Mus musculus: one gene and its partners. The protein of the gene in region 1 interacts with the protein of each later gene in a biochemical or structural test. Links are inferred from orthologs where the notes say so. Each region holds a gene or a part of one and is shown in the gene's direction. Other genes may lie near its edges.

Region 1 (4,022 bases):
ACTAATAATGTGCTAGACAATAATATCAATAGCATTAATTCTTCCCAAATAAAGACTTGGGTCATTTTGTCAGGGAGAGGGAAGTTTGAAATATCAAAGTACTATCTGTGAGTGAAGGGAGTTTGGGTCTTCAGTAGGTGGGGTCTTCAAACAATTACCAAGGTGGGAGCTGAGGCAGCTCTGAGTACAATATGTTAGTAGTCCTGTGTGCACATTATAGAGTATATATCAGCACACCCCTAGGGTGTGCATTAATCTCTCTATCCAGTGTGTAAACTGAAACAGAGCATCCTCTGGTGGTGAATAGCAAAATAGACATTGACTCTACCCTCTGCCTTATTTTGGGACCCAAGTTCTTTGCCTGCAGGAAATAGCAGCAGACCTTCCGTGGTAGAAGCAGAGTCGTTTTCTGATGTTTATAGATGTCTTCGTCCTTTCGGATGCTTGACTCTTTTTCATTCTGCTTTCTAGGACTGTTGTGCTCCAGGAACCAAGCCCCAGTACAACAGCACAATCTAGACAGTAGATGTTGCCTGGCGGCCTTTCACTAAGAGAGATCTCTTAAACAGGACTAGAAATTTCAAATCACAGAATGGTTTTGTTTCCTAAATATAATAAATAGCGAGGAAAATTCCACTGCTGTTTTTAGCGCAAGTTATAATACAATATCAATTGTCCATAAGTCTTAACTCCCTTCACTGGTACAACACATACCTTGACATCATAAAGAATAAATTTCTAGCCCCAAACTATTTGAAAAGAGCAAAATCACACAACAGAGTGGTGGGAAATGGGTATACTTCAAGTACTCTGTACAATTAATATATACTAATAAAAAACAGTGACGGTGGCGGGATCAGTCTTGGGGGAAGCTATCCATCCCTGTAGGAAACAGATGGTGACTCCTCCCTCTCCCATTCAGACCTCTTCTCTCAGAAGCTCCCAGGTAAGAAGAAAAGACCAGTGTCAAAGATCGATATCCTGTAGATTACATTCTGTTAAAGGGGACAAGGGGGCCTTAGAGAGACCCAGGAGGACAGGTACTGAGTTTTTTCCCTGCCTGTGGCCAGGAGTCAGTTTCTTGCACCTCTGACCTCTCTCCTCCCACTCTCTGCCCTGTCTCTGCCCAGTCTCCGCCCAGCCTCCGCCTTCTCTGCCTCTAACCTCCTCTTGCCACTCAACTCCTCACTCCTCCCCTTGCTCCTCCCTCTTCCTGCTAGACCTGCCTCTGAGAGGAAACTGAAAGTGAAATTTGGACTGCAGGCTTGCAAAAGCGAAGCTGGGAGCACATAACTAAAGCTGAGGACCCTGGTTAGGTGAGTGAGACTGGGACCCCTGGCCGGCCTAGGTGGGCTCTTTATCCCCACACCAGATTCAAGGAGCCTCTTCCCATCAGCACCCCACACTCGGGAATTTGCGAACCCACCTGCTGCTTCTTTTCATCAGAGTTGTCTTGTCCTAGCCCTGCAGAGCTGCCCATGCTGGCCTGTGGAAGCTGGGCTCTGAAAGTGACTTTCCTAGTGCCCTGGACTAGCTGAGACGACAGTCCTAGCAAGGGCAGGAGAAGCAGGGTGGTGACCTAGGCCAGAGGGGAGCTCAGGGAAACCCTTACCCCTTGAAGATCCCTGCTTGAGGAGAGTGCTATCCATGTAGAAATTTCTGTGGATTTAAGATACTCCACACCCTAAAGGAAGTTGAGACTAGGTTTGGAGCAGCTTAGAGAAGAGCCCAGGGAGTGCTCCCCAAAAATGTTCACCGGTGAGCACACCTGCATGTTATGTACATAGACATTTATAGAGGGGAACATATGGGCACGCCTACATTGATGCATTTGTGCACAAGTATAGTTTGCATATAAAAACATCAATATATGTGTACATACATATATAAAAACATGCATATACACACATGCAACTCTTATAACTGGGCCATATACTCTTAGACAATGTACTCCGGATAATGAATGACATCTTACATGAACCTGAGTGGGGTCGCTAATGACACACCTAGGCTGCATTGTGTTGCCTATTGCACAACCACCATATGTGCAGCCTGTCATATTTGACAAAATGTCTACTATGATGTATAGCTGCATAAACCTTGACTCCTAATGCCTGACCCCTGTGGTTTCTGCCAAGATTAATGAAGACTAGTATGAGCTAACTCTGGTTGGAATATGGAGGGTCTGTGGTGATATGGTAAATGGTCGTTACTGCCATGACTGACGTCTCTGGGCAGTAGAGGCATAAGATGACAGAAAGGAAATGGGAGACGCCTAGACAGTGAGGGTTAAGCAGGGATGGGTGTGGTGACGGTGGAGCTGTTAGCAGCGTTACCCCCACCAGTTTTCTCTGTCTCTTCTAGAAACTCGGTTTCCCCTTCTGCCTGGCTTGCTCAGTGGGTGAGGCCGGAGGAGAGGCTCCTGTCATTCAGGTTGGTGCTTTTGCCTTCTGCCTTTCCCTCCTGTGTCATCGCTTGTCCACCTTGGCATTATTTGGGGGAGTTTGGGGTTTGCCTTGCTTTTGCTTTTGTCCTACAAACTCTCATTTTTATCTCTTCGCCCCTCTGCATCTCTCAAGATTCCACGGCAGATATCACCCTCTACAACCTCAAAAATGTCTCTGGAAAAGATGTGGGAGGAGGTCACCTGTTCTATCTGCCTGGATCCCATGGTGGAGCCTATGAGTATCGAATGTGGCCATTGCTTTTGCAAGGAATGCATTTTTGAAGTTGGGAAGAATGGGGGCAGTTCATGTCCCGAGTGCCGGCAACAGTTTCTGCTCCGAAACCTCAGGCCCAATAGACATATAGCCAACATGGTGGAAAACCTTAAACAGATAGCCCAGAATACCAAGAAGAGTACCCAGGAAACGCACTGCATGAAGCATGGAGAGAAGCTTCACCTATTCTGTGAGGAAGATGGGCAGGCCCTTTGCTGGGTGTGTGCCCAGTCTGGGAAACACCGGGACCACACCAGGGTCCCTATTGAAGAGGCTGCTAAGGTATACCAGGTAAGGCCTTAGCACAGACTAAAGAACATAGCCACTTTGTCCCCCAGAATGGTGGCTGAGAAGTTGGGGGATGAAGGGATAATTTCTCCCTTCATTGAGAGGAGCTTGTGTATGGAATACAACTTTATTTCTCAGCAGCAGAGGCAAAGCCATGGGAAAGGAGTCATGCATCGTGCTTCCTCGTGGCTCCCGGGTACATTAGAAATGCAGTGGCCCAGATCCCGTTACCCATTGGTGTAACTCTGTTTTTGTTAAGACATACTAGATTTCTTCCATAGTCTTTCCATCTGCCTCCTCCAACCTGGGGACTAACCTGCCATCTTTTTCTACAGGAGAAGATCCACGTGGCTTTAGAAAAACTGAGAAAGGGGAAAGAGTTGGCCGAGAAGATGGAAATGGATCTCACGATGCAAAGAACAGACTGGAAGGCAAGAGCTGTAGGCTGGGCTGTGTCCCAGGTCTTGACCTCAAGCAAGCCTTAACCATGACTGTGCCTATCCAAGGGGCGGTAGAGTTATTATATAGGTCACTCTCCAAGACCCATCCACACACTGTGACTCCAGATAGAGAGGAATTGAAAGAAAGGAAGGAAGAGAGGAGAAGGAAAGAGAGAAGGAAAGGAAGGAGGGAGGGATAGAAGAGAGTCAGGGATGAAGGGAGGCAGAAGGGAGGGAGGGAAGAGGAAAGAAGGAAGCTTAAAATCAGATGGGATTTTCCCCAATCTGGCACAAATATCAAGAATTTCTGGAGAAAGTTTAAGGTTTCGTCATTCCTTCTGACCCTGTCTCAGGGAACAGCATAGTCAACATTAGTTTCTTGGGTCTGTGATAGGAAGTCCACCTGACCTGGTGGCTGCTTGATGGTGAGCAAGTTATTAGTCCAAAGCCTGCTAGGGACCTAAAGCCTGTCACAGTGAGAATTTGCTGGTAGAAAATGAAATGCATCTGAAACTGGGTAGGAATGAGAGGCTCACAGCCAATCACAGACCCCAAATGAGTAGCAAAAACTTGA
Region 2 (3,500 bases), on another chromosome or scaffold:
CTAGAGTGTCACAGAAGGATAGGAAAGAGGTTGAGGATACTGTCTAAAAAGGTTTTCATTAATATAGAAAGTAGTGTTTTGAAAGAAAATAAGATTGTGTGATCTGAAAGGAAGAGCCCAGTATGGACCCTGATATTAGCATATGTTGGAGCTTTTATTTGTTTGTTATTTGTAGTTTGTTTCAGATCTGACTTACAAGCCTGGTTCTGACCTTGACCTGATTTCTTTAATCTAGAGTGTCACAGAAGGATAGGAAAGAGGTTATTACTATGGAGTTAGAGAGATAGCTCAGCAGGTAAGAGGGTGTGTATCGTCCTGATCCTAGTACACACACACACACACACACACACACACCAGACAGACAGACAACCCTGCTCTGAAGGCCAGAAAGATTAAAACAAAACACAAGGTAGTGACCTGTGTTCAATATATGAACCCACATAGAGGTGGAAGGAAAGGGTCAAAAAGCTGCATGTTGTATGCTGTGGTTGTGAGTGCTCCACCCCATACAACAATAATACATTTACCCAATCATACATAGTATACACAATAATGATACATTTTAAAAGTTCTCTACAAAGAGAAAAATGCAGTATGAGAGTTGCTGAGTGAAGTGCAGCACTACCCTCTGGTTGCTCTGCCCAGTGCCTGGCAGGACAGTGTTCTCTTTTCCCCTTCATTTCAATCCTTTTCATTTAAGTTTTAAATCTGTTTCCTTTTTTCTTTTTCCTGCCTTAGGTGGATCGTAGACATGGAAGGTGCACCAGGAACCTTATATGAAGGGGAAAAATTTCAACTTTTGTTTAAATTTAGTAGTCGATACCCTTTTGACTCTCCTCAGGTAACCTTGCATGTACCATTGTGTTTTTAGAGTATAGCAAAACACTAAATTGGTTATTTTTGCCTAGCTAGACCTATATCACAAACCCAATATAAATATGTAGATAGAACTATCTTTACATAAGTCAGGATTTTGTGAATTTTATTGGGACAGAGGCTTTTGATCTGTCATGCTACCAGGAGCTTCAAGTGGTTTGTCATCCATGGGTTTCATGAGCAATGGGGAAGGTTACCGTTTGTAATAGCTGCAGGGACTCTTTTCTAGAACCACTGACCACACCAATAAAGGCTCTTTTAGGACTGCCTTTGGTTTTCTATTGATGTGTTTTCTTTGCAGTCTTTAAAAACAAGTGTGTGTTTACAGATGTCAAATACATGAAGTCAACTGAAATCTGATGATTATGGTTTGAAGCAAACGCAGTTTAGTTAATAGTTTAATACTTAGACAAGGAAAAATGCTGGTAGTGGAATTAAAAGCAAACCTTTCTTGTGGAGGGGCTTTGTGTGCTAGTGGTTTTGCCTCCATGTCCGTCTGTGCCCCACATGTGTGCCTGATGTCCTGGGAGGTCAGAAGACGATGTTGGATGTGAGCAGCCATGTGAGTGCTGAAATTGAACCTGGGTTCTCTGGAGAACAAGTGCTGCTAACAGTTGGGCTCTCTCCAGCCCCAGGGGATGTTTTTAAGAGGTATTTAACTAGTAAATAATTAATTGGATGTTAGAGAGGGGGAGATTCTGGGATGATCTCCAGGTTCCTGACTTGTAAGACAGTGAGTTACTTGAATTATTTATTCTCCACAAATTATAAGATTTCACATTTTAAGCTTTGTGAGGTGTGTTGCTAAAATGAAACCCTGCCAACCCTCTGTGTTACTGCTAAGTAATGAAGTCTTCTGGAAAATAAACCAGTACCTAAAATTCAACTTGGTATATGATTATGTGGAAATGTGCTATTTTGAGTAAAGTCATATTTCATTGTCACCTTCAAATTAATATTCTAAATTTACCTTAAGTATTGTTTTGGCCACAAGAGAAAATAAAGGACATTAGTTATTGCATTATGCTATAAAGGGAATTGTATAAAGAGGTAGGATTAACTAAATACTCCTTGAATTACAAAGTTGTCCTATGAACAAAAAGTTAAGCCTTAAGGCTCCTTTGACCATTTTTATAGAGCTGTGAAGTGAGGGGATCTGCTGCCATGACCTGTCACTATAAAGGCGTCTGTTAGTCACAAGCACAGCCATCTCCCTTCTCACTAAGAATAGGAATAAGAAGATTTACTTTCTCTAATATCTGAGATCCTTCACCTTTGTGCCCTTAGCTATTTCTACCTGTACTGGCTGGTTTTGGGTGTCAACTTGACACAGCTGGGGTTATCACAGAGAAAGGAGCTTCAGTTGAGGAAATGCCTCCATGAGATCCAGCTGCAAGACATTTTCTCAATTAGTGATCAAGGGGGAAAGGCCCCTTGTGGGTGGGACCATCTCTGGGCTGGCAGTCTTGGGTTCTATAAGAGAGCAGGCTGAGCAAGCCAGGGGAAGCAAGCCAGTAAGGAACATCCCTCCATGGCCTCTGCATCAGCTCCTGCTTCCTGTCCTGACTTTCTTTGGTGATGAACAGGAAACTGGGAAGTGTAAGCTGAATAAACCCTTTCCTCCCCAATTTACTTCTTGTTCATGATGTTTGTGCAGGGGTAGAAACCCTAAGACACTGCCTTCAACTTAGTGAGGATTCTGGAAGGAACAGATTTTTTTTTTTATCATACGAAAATAGTATTTCTATAAACATAAAACTAAGTCAAAAAGCATTCTGCAAATTCCGTCTTTAGTCCTTTATTCAAAATCAGATATCAAATTTAAATATTTACAAATCACCATTTATAATAAATTTATTCTCTCCTTTTCTTCCTGCTCCTTTGATTTTTAATAATTTCAGATTTATTATTCAGCAATATTTCATTCTTTAATATTAAGATAAATTAAACAGCTGATTTAGATCACTGCTGTGGGTACATACCTTTCTAAAATTTCATAAGTCTTTTGGATACCAATGTTTTTCCTCCCCCAAGAAAGTGAGTGTTTCTCTGTGTAGCCCTGGCTTTTCTGGAACTCACTATGCAGACGGTGCTGGCCTCACAACTCACTGAGATCCGCCTGCCTCTACCTCCTGAGTGCTGGGATTAAGGGCATGTGCCACTAAGCCCTAATGACATTTCAGATTTAATGCATCCAAACTTAATCGTTTACAGTAATGAAATAGAAAAAAAATTCTTGTATATGTTGGGTTTCTGTTTACCTTCTGTTTTGTTTTAAATTGTCTGCTTTCATGTATTCCTAGATACAGTTTTTCAATCTTTTTGCAATCTTTAAGCCAGTCCATTTCTCTTATCTTAGGATTTGGACTGTAGAACAAGGAATTATCTTCCAGCTGGGCTGTTTCAATAGGATAATGTTTCATTAGTTTATACTTGTGTTATATACCTTTTCACAGTGCTAGAATCAAAACCTTATACTTGCTCCCTTTCCACCCCCCCCCACTCTCTATGTATATACACATGTCCCACGCCCTCCCATACCCTTGCCTTCTTTTTGCCTTTCTTAGTAAAATCTGTGAATGATTATTTCCTGTGGAAGCAAGTCTTTACCTTGGGTATAAAGT
Region 3 (3,500 bases), on another chromosome or scaffold:
GTTTTGCTTTGAAGCCTGACGTAGGCTAGGCCGGGTACACGTGAAGTAGGTCAGACTGTAGGTCTACATCAAGCATCTCTGTACTGACTTCAGACCAGAGACAGTCAGAGACAGCGCTTCAGGAGAGTCACCTCCAACCTCCTTGTTCCCAGTCCTCAAACTCCTTCTGTAGCTGACACCCTAGCAGCACCTGGTCCTCCTGTCCCGTCTGCTAGGCACAGGGTTAACAGATGTATACTACCACCATGCCTGTCATCTTCTCCTTTTTTTTTCTTTTTTTTTTTTGGTTTTTCGAGACGGGGTTTCTCTGTGTAGCTCTGGCTGTCCTGGAACTCACTCTGTAGACCAGGCTGGCCGCCAACTCAGAAATCCGCCTGCCTCTGCCTCCCGAGTTCTGGGATTAAAGGCGTGCGCCACCATGCCCGGCTTTTTCTTCTTGAGACAAGATGTTACAATATAGACCTGGCTGGTCTGGAACTCGACAGGGATGCACCAGCCTCTACCTTCTGAGTGCAGGAATCAAGTGTGTGTGCTATCACACCTGGTTTCTATTTAAAAAAAAAAAAAAATCATCTGCCTTGGGTTACAGCTGAGTTGCACCTTCACGGGTACTTTCTTGTCTACACTGGTCTGAGATCAGTGACTTCTGTCATCCTCAGTGTGGGTGTTGATAAACAGGCTTAGCAGGGAGTACACTTTGTGGCTGACAGGTGATGAATCTTGTTGGATTTTCCGCTGAGTGTTTCATATACCTTTGTGATGGGTGTAAAATGCATGTTCAACATGTTACATATTTACTTTCCATTCCACACAGTGTCCATGAGAACTCTTTTTTTTTTTTAAAGGTTATTTGTTTTATGTATATGAGTACACTGAAGCTGTCTTCAGACACACCAGAAGAGGGAATCAAATCCCATTACAGATGGTTGTGAGCCACCATGAGGTTGCTGGGAATTGAACTGAGGGCTGTGGGCATGGTTGCTTGGGAAGAAAATACCCTACCCACCCCCACCCCTCACCCCCCTCCCAGCCCTCAGCACCTCATTCATTTGCCTTCTTAGTAAATGTTTCATGTGTAGATGGGGTCTGAGTTCAAGCACTATCAATAGGATTGCTATTATAAGTATTTATAATTATTAGCCATTGTACTCTCTTCTTCAGGACAGCCAGGGCTACACAGAGAAACCCTGTCTTGAAAAACAAAGCCAAACAAAAACCTATTCTTATTGAACTCAAGTTCATGGATTTGGCAGCAAGTACCTTTACCTGCTGAGCCATCTCCCCGGCTCATTTTCCCTCCAGTCTCCTTCCTGTCATCTCTGCAGTGGAGGCAGGAAGATCAGAAATTAAAGGTCATCTTTGGCTGTGTAGAATTCAAGGTCACGCTGTACTGCATGTGACCCTCAAAACAGACGACAAAAATGAGAAGGGGGCAAGTAGGGCAGGGGATTTGGGAGGGCTTGGGGAAAGGCAAAAAATATGGCTAAAATATAGCTCAATAAATTTTATTTTAGAATTACTTTTTACCCCTATATATCCTTGGCTGTCCTGGAGCTCCTACATAGACCAGGCTGACTCTAAATTCACAAAAATCCACCTACCACTGCCTCCCAAGTCCTCAGATTAAAGGGTGCACCACCATGTTCACCTTCAATACATTTGACTTCAGAAGAAGAAAATGAACAGAGAGGCTCCTTTCCTCTCCATCCTTCCTCCTTGTTCTTTTTGACATGGAGTCTAGCTGTGTTGCCCAAGCTGACCTTGAACTTCGGGGCTTAACCTATTCCTCCTCAGCTTCCTGCGTAGTGGAGACTATGAGGATGAACCACGGACTCCAGCTCACTTTTCTCTCATTATAGAAGAGATACAAGTTCCTCATAGAACAAGACTCAGGATAAAGAGTGGGCAGGTCTGCTTTGTTTTGTAGCCAGTGACAGTGTTTTGGAATATTGTGCTTGTTCCTGTTGAATCTTTTCTTATGAAAAATACATAAGAATCTTGTTTCAAAAAACAAGCAACCAAACAAAAAGAAACTTCTGGGGAAAAGAAAAATGAGATCTGCCCTGATTTCCTTTTTCAGATCCTGAGAGTCAGACCTTGAAGGAGCACTTAATCGATGAGCTGGACTATGTGCTGGTCCCAGCCGAAGCCTGGAATAAATTGCTGAATTGGTATGGCTGTGTGGAGGGCCAGCAGCCTATTGTCAGAAAAGTGAGTTGACAAGTTGTTAGACCTGCTAGGTGTGTATGTGAGTTCTCCTTGGGTACACTGACTTCTCTTTATTTCCCGGGAGGATGAAAACGGTTACATGGTTGAAAATGAAGCAGGTGAGACTTTGTAATGTTTTTGGATTTTGGTTTGTTTTTGTTTTTGAAACAGGGTTTTTCTGAGTATCCCTTACTAGTAAGTAGTTCTGGAACTTTCTATGTAGCCCAAACCAGCCTCAAACTCAGAGATCCCTAAGTACTGAGATTAAAGATGTACCAGGCTTTAGACCTTGTTTATGTTTCCTGAGACAGGATCTCTGTGTATCCCGGGCTGGTCTTGTTCTGGTCATCTCCTGCCTCTTGTATGCTGGAATTTTGGCCTGAATGACTATTCTACTTCTCTCTGGGATATGAAGTATTTGTGAGTAACTCAGGATGTTCCTAAGTGGCCTCCAAATACAAGAGCTGCCTGCTGGTTTGGAATGCCCATAGTACTTGGAACCCAGCTCTTCAGTTGGGCTGTGTGGACATAATCGAATGCATTGCACCTTGCACCGCTTCCTTTTCCCCAGGACTGGGAGTGAACCTAGGGCCGAATAGAATACATGACTCACTGAGTGTCCTAGCACTGAGCTATATCCAGCCCTCTTTTTTTTTTCTTTGAGATGGTGTTGTACTGAGTTAACCAGGCCAAATTTGAACTCACTTATAGCTCAAGTAGGCCTAGAACTTTGACCATTTTGAGCCTTTTCATTGAGGCTCCTGGATGTTGAGATAACTAGTGTGAGCCACCATGCTTACCTAACAACTTCTCTTTTTCTTTTTCTTTTTCTTTTCTTTTCTTTTCTTTTCTTTTCTTTTCTTTTCTTTTCTTTTCTTTTCTTTCTTTCTTTCTTTCTTTCTTTCTTTCTTTCTTTCTTTCTTTTTAGATTTATTTATTTATTAAAGTACACTGTTGTTGTCTTCAGGCACTCCAGAAGAGGGCGGCAGATCTCATTATGGATGGTTGTGAGCCACCATGTGGTTGCTGGGATTTGAATTCAGGACCTCTGGAAGAAGTCAGTGCTCTTAACCACTGAGCCATCTCTCCAGCCCTCTAACAACTTTTCTAAAGCCATTTCCCCTGTGCTCATGAGTCTGATTGTACTGCTGAGTAGTAAAAACGTAGGTGTTTATATGCATAGGAGAACTTCTCAAGTTCTCACACTGAGACACACAGCTTTGTGCCTTTGGTGGACAGAACACATGAGATCACTGCCTTGTCTCTCAGCTACTAGCTTTTCTTACTAGAAA
Region 4 (3,500 bases), on another chromosome or scaffold:
CAAACTGAGCATTTCCTCAACACATCCTCTGACCCTAACCTGACTTGCTGGACGGACGCAGCATAGAGAGACGAGAGAGCCCCGCTATGCCCAGACCTGAGAGCTGGGCAGAGTTGCTCCGGATTTAGTAAAGAAGTGTCAGGTGCCCTTGGGAGAGTCAAGGTTTCCTGCTCCCGCCTCACAGGGTTTCCTCCCAAACTTGCCAAAGCATGGAATCTGTAAGGAAGAAAGGGTCTAAGCAGAAGTCTCAGGATAGTATGCCTTAGGCACCATTTCAGACTCCTCTTCACAAGGCTAGAGAAGTGTAACGTGAGGCATCATGCACAGATCCAAGACCCCGCCTGCCAGAGCTTCTCCCGCTCCAATTCCTGTGCACTGGACAGGGCCTTTTCCTCCGGGTCCTAGTATGTAACTGTAAATGAGACCTAGTAGGTCAACACTTACCTAAAGGTACATGGACATGAGGCCAGTCAAAGGCTCAGTGGGTAAAGGTGCTTGCTCCTTTACGCCTGATGACTTGAGTCTGATGTCCAGAACCCACCTTTTAAAAAGCTGATAATAGCATGCACCTGCAGTCTCAGTGTTCCTCCAGCGAGATGGGAGGCAGAGACGAGAGTTGCTGGAAGCTCACAGGCCAACCCCTCTGAAGTACACAATGTGTCAGAACCAACAAGAAGGACTTGCCTCAGAAACACAGAACGAGACACTCCACTCCTGAAAGTGTTCTCCAGCCGCCACACACATAGGCACTGTGGTACGCAGATGCCAGCACACACACACACATACACACGCATGAGCATATGCATACAGTCACAGTGATGCATCTTATTCAAAGATGTTCGCCCTGTATGTAGTTCCTTTTGTCTAATTCTGAAGAACTGTGTGTCTTCCTCGCCAGTTTGATAGTCAGCTTTAGCACCCGCTTTTGGTAGACACAGTAAAAGAAGACAATAATCTGCACTGGACATCATCTCTGCCCGACAGTGAGCTTATTCTATTGGTTTTACCTATGCCGTTAAGCCCTGTTGAAAGTTTGCTTCTAGCAGGGGAAACTGGCTTACAGTTAAGGAACTTTTGAGGGTCTCACGCTAGAAAGTGGTAGCCATGAGATCCAAGCTTGGAGCAACTTATTCCTGAACACACATGCCTTCTAGCCAGTCAGCTGAGGGTCTCCCCAGCCTGCCCATCCCATCTGTCCTCCCAGGATGCCCTCTGTCCATCAGGTGGCATGAGCACAGCTTTCCCATCAGGAGAATGACGTGAAGCATCTAGTAGAGCGGATGATGGCACTGCAGACTGACATTGTGGACCTGCAGAGGAGCCCGATGGGTCGGAAGCAGGGGGGCACCCTGGATGACCTGTGAGTATAACTGGGGAGGGGCGACACTGACACAGAGCACATTGACACCCTGTAGAGTTTCAGGAGGTTCTGTGGGGTATAGCTCCTAGTGAATCACTTTGGCTCATTCTCTAGGATAAGTTGTGACAAATGGCTGTCACTTTGAGCCTTGTCCCTGTGAAGTGACAAGGAAAGGTGTCCTCCCAGAGTGGGAGGAGCCAGCTGATAACTTTTAAAGGTTGTGAAACACACACACACATGCTCACACACACACACACACACACACACACGAGCACGTGTCTGTGGTAGCAGACGTCCCTGCTCAGACAGCCCAGCGCTCTAGGTGTGGCTCCCAGAGCAGGAAGTAGAACTGAGGGAGGAGCCCACCGAGTCCAAGAGTTTGGCACTGTGTCCAAGAGGAGTCAGGGCACCAAGCAGATCCATCCTGCCTGGAGACCCTAGCATGCTGCCCTGTGTGCTCACAGAGGGCTCTAGGCAGGTGGGTCAGTTTAAGGGCCCTGTCACCTGAAGGGATCAGTGTCACCTGATGCTCTTACTAGAATTCTTAGGGTGAGACATCTGAAAACAAAGAATTATTTGTTCTCCATTGTCTCTTATACAGTAACCCTTTACTCGTTCTTCAAGTTTCCAAATGAAAATCTGCACTTTGTGCACATGCGTATATGGATGTCCGTGTGTGCACATGTGTGTGCAGGTGTTCTTTGTTCCAAAACAGGGTCTCACTCCATAGTATTCCAGACCTTGTGCTCGCTAGGGAGTCAAGACTTGCCTCAAATTCACAGAAATCCTACTACCTCAGCTTCCTGTGTGTGCAACCGAGATCAGTTAGAGCCTCCTTCTGAGGCTGTTGCCAGCCTGCCTGTGTTAGAGGAAGAAATAGGCCTTCATGTCTAGCTTTGGACTTAGGCTTTTGAGGGCAAGTATTTTCTTGGTCAGGTCCAGAAATGGTGACCAAGAGTGACCTTGAATCACTCTTGTAGCTAAGCAGAAGAGGACTGTAATCTTTAAGGCTGTTCTCGTTTGTGGCATTTGGGTTTTATAAATATTACCATAACTGGCAGGTTTTATTCCCATTGAGAGCATATGACCAGTAGTCTAAAGAGTAGTGATCCGCTGGCAAGAGTTAGCAGGCTGGTGCTTAAATGTCCTTGGTGTGCCTTGACTCTGGCCTTCCCTCTTCCAGAGAGGAACAAGCGAGGGAGCTCTACCGAAGACTCAGGGAGAAGCCAAGAGGTACATGCTTTGTCTTGTCTTTGAGACACTGGTCTACCCTGGAGGCCAGTAGGAGGAACTATGCCACTCCCCTCTGCAGACCAAAGGACAGAAGGTGACAGCCAGGAGATGGTACGGCTGCTGCTTCAGGCAATCCAAAGCTTTGAGAAGAAAGTTCGGGTGATTTATACACAGCTCAGGTAGGCACTCCCTCGCCTCCTCCAGGACAGGATGGAGAATCAAGCAAAGACAAGGGGCAGATGGATGCCCTCGCTCTGCTCTGCCTTGCCTACACAGTGAAGAACCGATCCTAATTGGGAACAGCTCTGTGCTGGCCCAGAGCTCTCGGGAGTGTGGCTCTCTCTGTCCTTACAGTAAGACCGTGGTTTGTAAGCAGAAGGCACTGGAGTTGCTGCCCAAGGTAGAAGAGGTAGTGAGCCTTATGAACGAGGACGAGAGGACCGTGGTCCGGCTTCAGGAGAAGCGGCAGAAGGAACTCTGGAACCTCCTGAAGATCGCCTGTGTGAGTGACTTACTCCGGCCTCTCAGGTCTCCTCCCCACGCACTGCCATGGCCCTCCAAGGAGGCACAGGCTGACCTGTGGCATGGAGTGGGCAGGGAGGGTTCCGGAAGGGAGGGTTTATGTGAGTGTTTTTACTGCCCACGTGGCTACTGTACGTACCACAAGGAGCTCCAGGCAGCAGACATTGTTCTTTCAGAGCTTCAGAGACCAGAGGTTAAGAATCCAGTTGTCAGCAAAATGGTATCTCTTCTGATGGATCTAGGGCAAAGCCACCTCCACCCCACCCCCACAGCGGCTCCTCACCTGTATCTGTGTCTTCAGTTGACACCAGGGTCTCATCTGAATGTGTCGTGTAAGACATTCAGAGCTAGAGATGAATCTCAGCTAAAAGATGTCTGCCCTGTG

The links.
Region 2: the proteins of Trim21 (region 1) and Ube2w are reported together in a solved structure, tested with the Homo sapiens proteins (2 studies listed by BioGRID, with this or other methods). The link is inferred for Mus musculus from reciprocal best matches to the Homo sapiens genes TRIM21 and UBE2W.
Region 3: of the proteins of Trim21 (region 1) and Usp4, one has a biochemical effect on the other in vitro, tested with the Homo sapiens proteins (2 studies listed by BioGRID). The link is inferred for Mus musculus from reciprocal best matches to the Homo sapiens genes TRIM21 and USP4.
Region 4: of the proteins of Trim21 (region 1) and Ikbkb, one has a biochemical effect on the other in vitro, tested with the Homo sapiens proteins (2 studies listed by BioGRID). The link is inferred for Mus musculus from reciprocal best matches to the Homo sapiens genes TRIM21 and IKBKB.

What each region holds. Positions count from the first base shown.
Region 1 is NC_000073.6:102,562,683-102,566,704, reverse strand, and holds the start of Trim21 (E3 ubiquitin-protein ligase TRIM21), read left to right. Parts: upstream 1-1,222; 5' UTR 1,223-1,316; intron 1,317-2,364; 5' UTR 2,365-2,433; intron 2,434-2,579; 5' UTR 2,580-2,615; coding exon 2,616-3,011; intron 3,012-3,343; coding exon 3,344-3,439; intron 3,440-4,022. UniProt on the Homo sapiens protein: E3 ubiquitin-protein ligase whose activity is dependent on E2 enzymes, UBE2D1, UBE2D2, UBE2E1 and UBE2E2.
Region 2 is NC_000067.6:16,595,292-16,598,791, reverse strand, and holds part of Ube2w (ubiquitin-conjugating enzyme E2 W), read left to right. Parts: intron 1-738; coding exon 739-841; intron 842-849; exon of another isoform or gene 850-3,500. UniProt on the Homo sapiens protein: Accepts ubiquitin from the E1 complex and catalyzes its covalent attachment to other proteins.
Region 3 is NC_000075.6:108,354,331-108,357,830, forward strand, and holds part of Usp4 (ubiquitin carboxyl-terminal hydrolase 4), read left to right. Parts: intron 1-2,080; coding exon 2,081-2,211; intron 2,212-3,500.
Region 4 is NC_000074.6:22,665,084-22,668,583, reverse strand, and holds part of Ikbkb (inhibitor of nuclear factor kappa-B kinase subunit beta), read left to right. Parts: intron 1-1,204; exon of another isoform or gene 1,205-1,223; coding exon of another isoform or gene 1,224-1,232; exon of another isoform or gene 1,233-1,250; coding exon 1,251-1,360; intron 1,361-2,543; coding exon 2,544-2,593; intron 2,594-2,672; coding exon 2,673-2,772; intron 2,773-2,947; coding exon 2,948-3,095; intron 3,096-3,500.